2 linked regions of the Cricetulus griseus genome follow. The protein of the gene in region 1 interacts with the protein of each later gene in a pairwise test. Links are inferred from orthologs where the notes say so. Each region holds a gene or a part of one and is shown on either strand. Other genes may lie near its edges.

Region 1 (4,407 bases):
TTTGGAAGGCCCCAAGAAGGAAGAAACTAATATAGGACTTATGAGATGTGACAGTGGTCAGTGTGCCTCTGGGCCTGAAGGGGGGGGAGGACTGGGTGTGTCCTTCCTTACCTTGTTAGTAACACTCTGCTTAGGGCTTTGCTATCTGGAAAACCTGTTTCCAAGAGGGGCAGTCTCCCTGCCTATGTACTGCTACTCGAAGGAGTAATGGAACACACAAGAACAGTAACAAAGATATAATTAAATACTTACTTAGCTTCTCAAGCTCCAGCCGCAAGTTCTGACACTCACGGGTTTCATTTACAAGCCTCTCCTGACTATGGGATAACCTCTTCTCTATCTCAAAGTATTGTTGTTCTAAAAAAGACAATACAAACATTAAAAGTAAAGTCAAGCACACATGCCCCCGCCAAAAGCAGTAGTCTTAATACCACTATTCATTTCTTAGAATAGTGACTGCAAAACTTAATATTTGAAAACCTATTCTCAATATAGATTTAGCACTGAAAAGGCTTTTCCAACATTTTCAACTGACATATAACAAAAGACAATATGCCTAAAAGGGGATTCATGAATTAATTTCTTCTAAGCAGGCAACAATGCCGTATCTTGGTATTTTCTCCAGACCTCAGGAGATTGCTAAACATTTAAAAGTATTTACTAAATTGAAATTTCATTTAATTAAAATCTGAGTAGTTTAAAAAGGTTTCATGTAAAATAGTTAAAATACCCACCTGCTTAAATTTCCGTAAAAAGAAACATGCAGACTTCCCACAAAAAAAGACTGAGAGCAGGGTGGTTGTAGCATGCCTTTGGTCCCAGCACTTGGGAGGTAGAGGCAGGAGGATCTTTGTGGAGACCAGCCTGGTCTACGGAGTGAGGTCCAGGACAGCCAGGGCTACAGAGAAACCCTGTCTCAAAAACTCACAAGAAAAAAAAAAAAAAAAGGGAGACCATGTAGACACTGTTTACTTCATTCTAGTATTGGTATTGGGACATATAAATCACTCAATATTTATTTCGTAAATAAACAGAATATGGTGTATTATTATGCAAATTTCTTATTTCACCAATGAACTGTATAATTTCAATTGTCAACTTTGCTTGATAAGTGAAAATTAACTCGGGTGGATTTTCCAATCTCTACCAAAATACTGCACCAATTCCCTCAATTAATGGTAAACCAAAACATGCAACAAGAAAAATTCTATTTTATTAACAGTAATTACTATTTTTATTTCAAGGCTGTTCCAACCACGAAGTTCATAACTTTCTCTTACAAAAGCAACTACAAGGGCATATAAGCAGATCTGTATATATTTTCTATCCATCTCCAACTTTGAGTGAAACACTATATATCCAACTCATTTAGTGCCATTTCACTGTTTTTCTAGTGATTTCTTTTGCATCCAAATTCATTTTTTGTGAACATCTCCAACTTTCTGAGGGAAGCACGATATACCCAACTCATTTAGTGCAATTTCACTGTTTTTTCTAGTGAAGTCTTTTGCATCCAAATTCATTTTCGTGACCATCTACTTAGTTATGGGACCACATGGAGACACATACACTAAGAACAAGGCATCGAAGAGATGAAATTGGCAAAGGCTTATACATCCAGGTGGGTAGAAAATGGGAGGAATTACGGTCATTTAAGAACAACAAAACGGAATCCGATTTGGTTGGCATAATCCTAAAAATCTGATGTAAACTGACCAAAATTCTTCACAGTTTGTATGTGGGCCCAAGTTAAGAGTTCCTACATAAGACGCGATGAAGGTGGATTTAGGTCTGGGAGGAGGACGGCTCTCTTCTTTTCTTTTTTTTTTTTTTTGTAAAAAAAAAAAATCAGTCATCGAGGAGAAAAGAGAAGGCCTACACTGCATCTGGAGCCTGTGTGATGCTACCTGCCCACCTCGCAGAGCGCAAGCGGGTGAAGAGGAAGGTCGAGCCACGGCTCCATCAGAGCTCTAAGGTGCTCAGCACTTACCGCTCTCCACCTTAAATTTCTCGTGCCGCCCCTTCAGGCCGTCGATCTCCGACTGCTGGTCAGCCAGGAACTTCTCAAGTTTGTTCTGGGTCGACTTCGGCAGCTTGTTCAGCTCCGGGCGCTCCAGCACTTGCTGCAACACCGCCGCCATGTCGGCCGGGGTCGCGGCAGCGGCGGCCGAAGGAGAAACGAAGGAGCTAGGCGAAGCGCGAAACCCCGATGCCTGAGGCGCCCCGTCTGCAGGGTCGCTCGCTGGCTCCCTCGCGCCTGCCCGCCGCAGACTCCCGCGGCGGGATCCTGGGAAATAGAGTCCCGCGTCAGACGCAGCACGGGCCGCGCCACCGCGCCCCGGGTGCGCACGCAGCCGCCGGCAGCTAAGCACGCTGGGAATGCGAGTTCACAGCGGGCCTCTGACCTAACTTTTGGTTGCACCCGCTTCCAGACCCAAAGACTCCTGGGAAATGTAGTATCTCTCACGACTCGCTTCCGCGAGCTTCGATACCCCCCTCCCCCTCCCGCACCTCCCGTTCCCTTTCCTTCTTTCTCCCCGCCCCCGGCTCTCCTCGTTCCGCGGTGACGAGTGTCCGCGCGGTGGCGCTACATACGTGCTCAGCAACCATCGTCCTTCCCCGAGGAGCAAGGCGACCTTACCGTCAAAACCCCGGGATGCCATGGGTACTCCTCGGTGGCCGCTGCTAGAAACCGAGCCGCTAGAGGGTCGCGGCAGGGCGGATCAGCAGGCTCCGGGCTGCCGCCACGCTCTCAATGGTGCCCGAAGGGGGCGGGGTGCAGGCCACACTTGCTTTGGTGGAAGAGCTGCGGAGATGAGTGCGGCACGGCCTGCGTCATCAGGCTGCGCCCGTCGGTGCCCTAGTTTGGAGCGGGAAGTGGTGCGACTGCAGTCGCTTTTTGATGAGTTCATAGGCTGTGGAAGCAGCACCTGAGTGGCATCTGACCCTTGAAGGCTGCTACTTGTCCTCTCACCCGCGTTCTCTTGCTGACCGAAGGTTCGGGGGATTTATTGGCCACGTGTGCACATTCTGCGAACAAGTGAGTGGGCCCACGAAGGTGTGTACACTCGAGCAACAACAACTTCCTCTTCAAAGGGAGCAAGGAAAGGGTATAGTGTAGGGAACATATGGACGGACAGTCACTCCGGTGCACTCTGAAGTCCAGTTCTGAGGAGTTTAGCTCATGTCAAACCTCGTACAAACATGCTTTTGGTACTTGGAGGTACTGATCGGTGCGAATTTAAGTAGTAATCCAGTTAATGTTTTAGACAAAAAGGAATCAGGAAGAGTTTGAATGTAGTTTATGTGTTAAGATGACATTGCAGGAAAAAAAAGTCTGATGTTGATGTTTTTATATGAAAATGTTAAAAAAAATTCCCAAGATACCATCTTGCCCCAATAACAGAACTATGTTTGTTCCCAGATCATGTTTCAGCACTTTCAGTACGTACTTTGTTTCATGCCTGGTTGCTTTTCTGGAATTTACTGACGCTTGATTGAAAATAAGGGCTAGCACATACCTATGATCTCAACAACAGAGTAAGAGGCAGAAGGGTTATAATTTCAGTACAGCCTGGGTTAGTAGTCAGACCCTGTTTTCAACGAAGTGGGTGGGAGGGGTTAAGTTAGTACGGGTATTATACTAGTTTCCATTCACAAACTGAAGGAGAGAACAGGAGCTGTCCTTTGCAATGATTTGATTGAAGGAAAGTATATGTTGTCTGTGTGAGCAAAACTGTCAGAGCTTAAATCCCGCCTTACACACACACACACACACACACACACACACACACACACACACCAGTCTTGTCATTTGGTGGAGTCATTTAACATTTCCTTCTTTTGATTTCTTTATGTATAAAACAGATATGACAGTAGTACTTGTGTAGTAGCGTTATATATTAAATGTCAATATATGGAAAGTACCTAGAATAATGCCCGGTGTAGAATGGAAGCTATATAGTTAGTTATCATTGTTGTACTACTGTTTACTTAAGTGGCTGTTAAGTGAGTTGTCTCATGTCAGCAATTATGGTTCACTTTTGTGCCTTCCCGCTGAGTACAATTTCTAGAAAGTAATAATTGTATAATATATATTGTGTAAAGAAATTTGAATCTCTCTGCCTCTTAATGAACTCATTGGAAATTCATGTCTCATAATTTAGAAATGAGAACATGGAAATTCACCAATAAATTAACAAAGAGAATGTAGCTGAGGAATAGATCTAAAATAAGAAATTAGATGTGTTGACTAATGGTTTCATTATTTCCTTATCCCAAGAATGAGAAATAGCTTTGATTTCTCATGGTTAATTGGTAATTGTGATTTTTTTTTTTGAGGTAGGGTTTCACTATTTTGATCCAATTGGTTTGGAACTCACTATATAGCCTTGTCTGACCTCCAAC
Region 2 (3,652 bases), on another chromosome or scaffold:
ACCAGAAACTGAAGTTCCGGAAGAAGAGAACATATTTTTCCCATTTGACCTGTGGAAAAACACAACATGTGACAGGATGCTCAGAACAAAGAGAGAACTCATAACCACTTAACATGACCAGTAACAAAATGGGGGGTGGGGGGGCAGTGAGGAAAATGCAGTTGTTACAAGCAAACGTCTTCTGCTCTTCCTGGCCTATAACTTGCTGCTTTTCTCTCAGATTGTAATACAGTCCCTAAAACTACAGTATCATAGTAGTTTTTACTATTACCCAAACTATATTACTGCCTGATTTACTTTTAGAAACACACACACCCCTTTACCAATGTAAAATCTCAATGAAATAGGATCATCTCTTACCCCACTGTAAATGATGCTGGAGACTGGCTGAATTGAAAGCCCCCTGAACCTGAGGGTTGGGCTGAGGCTGCTGGCGTGCTGGGATTTGCACCAAATGTGAACACTCCTGACGGATTATTGTTTGTGAAGTTGAAATTTGTGGTGCTGCTGCCAAATTGGAAAACAGAACCTATACAAATTAAGCAGAAATATTGCATTAATGACACAATGTTAAGATGGACGCTCACCTAGACATATTATAACATATGAAAAATTAAGATCTCAGCAAGGCGTGATGATGCACACCTCTAGTCCCAGCACTCAGGATGCACAGAGCAAAGAATTTCTGTGAGTTCAAGGCCAACCTGGTTCTATAGAACCAGTAAAAGACCAGCCAGGGCTACCACAAAACAGGAGAATTTAGAGCACACATGAGCTAAGTACAAACACCAGAATACAAGATGAACCTTACAAACCAGTAACCAAACGAAACTAAAGGACAAAATACTTATAAAAGAATTTGCAAAAAAATGGAAAATACATAGAAACCAAATAAGAAGTTTGTCATCCAGCAGTGGCAGCATGTGAAGTGGAAAACCCCAGCAGGAAGTGTGTAATAAATACCTTTTAAATTATGGGGTAACCTTTCTATTCAGAGCGCATCAAGAGAAACACATGTGCTCCCCCAAAAGGTTAATATCCTCTACTCTATAACATGTAACACAGCATTTCCTGACAGTCAAAACTGACTAACACAAAACAGTAAATGAACAGACTGACAACCACTCTGCAGCAGGGACAGAACCATATGCAACAGCACAACACAGAAAATGTAAGAGCAAAGAAGCAAGGTGCACACAGCAAGAGTCCACTGTATAGATAAGTATCAGGCAAAGCTTTATTTTCTAGAGGTATCAGTCAACTAGAGTCCAATGGACAGGACAGTGGTCACCATTAGAGCAAAGAAAGAGGAGTATAATCACATGTGCCTCCAGCTGTCTGTACACACATACAAGCTTCCACACTATGACTCTTTCATGAGATAATTCTATTAGAAAGATCAAATGGTAAAATTTTGAAAGAATGCCGTATTAAAATACAGTACAATCAGTTGAATTTAAAAAGTCACAAGAAGCAATTCCACTCCTAGGCATATACCCAAAAGCAATACATTCACACAACAAGGACATCTGTTCAACCATGTTCATAGCAGCATTATTTGTAATAGCCAGAAACTGGAAGCAGCCTAGATGCCCCTCGACTGAAGAATGGATAGAGAAAATGTGGTACATTTACACAATGGAGTACTACTCAGCAGAAAAAAAACAATGGAATCTTGAAATTTGCAGGAAAATGGATGGAACTCCAACAAACCAGTCTGAACCAGGTAACCCAATCACAAAAAGACAAACATGGTATGTACTCACTCATATGTGAATTTTAGACATAGAGTATAGGATTACCTGCCTACAATCGACACTCCCAGAGAAACTAGTAAACAAGGAAGACCCTAAAAGAGACAAACTTTATCCCCTGAAGAAGGGGAAAGGGTCACCATCCCCTGAGCAAATTGAGAACATGGGAAGAGGGAGAGAGGGAGCTACGAGAATGAGAAGGGAAGAAAAGAAAGAATGCTGAGGTCATGAGGGAGCAGAAAGGTTGAGTCAGGTGTAGATTAGAAGAAAGGATATGGGATAGGTAGGGTTTTAGTTGGGGGGGTGGTAGGGGAGGAAGGGAGGGAGAAGGGAACTGGGATTGTCATGTAATTCAATCTTGCTTCTAATTCAAATAAAAAAATGCTGCATGACACTCATCTTCAACACCACTGACAGTTGAGAAAACATTTTTCTTACCTTTTATGTTTCTTAAATATTTTTGTAATTAGATTTGAAAAATATGACATGTAATATTCTACTTGGTATATTTATAAATGATAAAATAATACTAATCTTGATTTTAATGAAGTTATAAATGAAAATATGTTTCATCTTATCATAACTTTTTTTATAACTGTTTGCTTACCTTGAACTCCTACCTTATACAAAATTAATGTTTGAAATAATCAAATTTTCATTGTCTTTATAAATATGCATATAATACATTCTTATTATTCAGTATTAATTCAGATAAAAATTCTAGTTTCTGAATTGAACTTTAAATCTAGTTAGTCTAGCTATAAGTTACTCAAAGATTTGGGTTAATTCTTATTTTTACATCATAAATAATACAAATTATATAAAAGGCATCAATGTCTAGGAACCACAAAATTTATGTTTTATATCTTCAATATTGATGTTTCTTGATTTAATTAGTATCTAAAATGTTGTATATTGCAATTAACCAAGATTTAAAAATTAAACAATCCTGTATTTACTAATAAAAACACAATACTACAGTGAAAACAAAGGCAGCTAAAAGTCCTATTTCCTGTTTCCTGCCAAGCAGTATGTAAAACTTGTTGGGGGAGGAGCCTCCAAGGAGGAGGTTATCTTCGTGAAATTTCCATTCTTCCTGGTGATGCTGATTGCCTGCCCCCATCCCCAAGACTAGCCTTAAAAAGAAGAATTCAGACTTTTATGATTCCCCCATAGGAGGCCTCACACTCTCTGAAGAATGGATGGGGGTGGGATGAGGGGATGGGGGAGAATGGGAGGACAGGAGGAAGAAGGAACTGGGATTGGGATGTAAAGTAAGATTGTTTTTGATTTAAATAAAAAAATTAATTTAAAAAAGAAAAAAAAAGCCACAAGAACTTTTGGTGATATGCAGAGGGAACAGCAGTATTATCCAACTGCTGTGAGACAAGTCAGCACAAGTAAGGTCTAACTTCCCAAAGGAAATCAAAACCCTACTCCACGGCAGCCTACAGGGAAACAGAGACATCAGAGGAAAAAATACTTTTAAATATCCTTTAATGCCATCAAATGCAGTGACTAAAACTCTACAATGTAAAACACCACACTTCACGGTTAAGTATAAAACATTAGAAAATAAGATATACACATGGTTTCAAAGTTCAAAAAAAAAAAAAAAAAACAAGCAAAACAAAACACTATTTTAAGCCACCAGACTCAAAGAACAGATACAACGTGTCATTACTCAACTTACTGGAATTAGGAGCTGTCCCAGAGCCAAATGCAGACTGACTAGGCTGCTGCCCAAACACAGGAGGTTGGCTGCTGCTTGACACTGCCCCAAAAGTAGGTGGTGGTGCAGGCTGGGAACCAGCAGAAAACAACGATGTTGAAGATGATATAGAGCCAAAGCTTGGAGGGTTAGGTTGGCTGGCACCTTGACTTTGTCCAAATGTTGG

The links. The genes of interacting proteins can lie anywhere in the genome.
Region 2: the proteins of Tpr (region 1) and Nup153 interact in a two-hybrid assay, tested with the Homo sapiens proteins (3 studies listed by BioGRID, with this or other methods). The link is inferred for Cricetulus griseus from reciprocal best matches to the Homo sapiens genes TPR and NUP153.

What each region holds. Positions count from the first base shown.
Region 1 is NC_048598.1:41,200,473-41,204,879, forward strand, and holds the start of Tpr (nucleoprotein TPR), read right to left. Parts: upstream 2,809-4,407; 5' UTR 2,664-2,808; coding exon 2,642-2,663; intron 2,288-2,641; coding exon 1,991-2,287; intron 358-1,990; coding exon 253-357; intron 1-252.
Region 2 is NC_048596.1:266,378,250-266,381,901, forward strand, and holds part of Nup153 (nuclear pore complex protein Nup153), read right to left. Parts: coding exon 3,448-3,652; intron 530-3,447; coding exon 361-529; intron 50-360; coding exon 1-49. UniProt on the Homo sapiens protein: Component of the nuclear pore complex (NPC), a complex required for the trafficking across the nuclear envelope. Functions as a scaffolding element in the nuclear phase of the NPC essential for normal nucleocytoplasmic transport of proteins and mRNAs.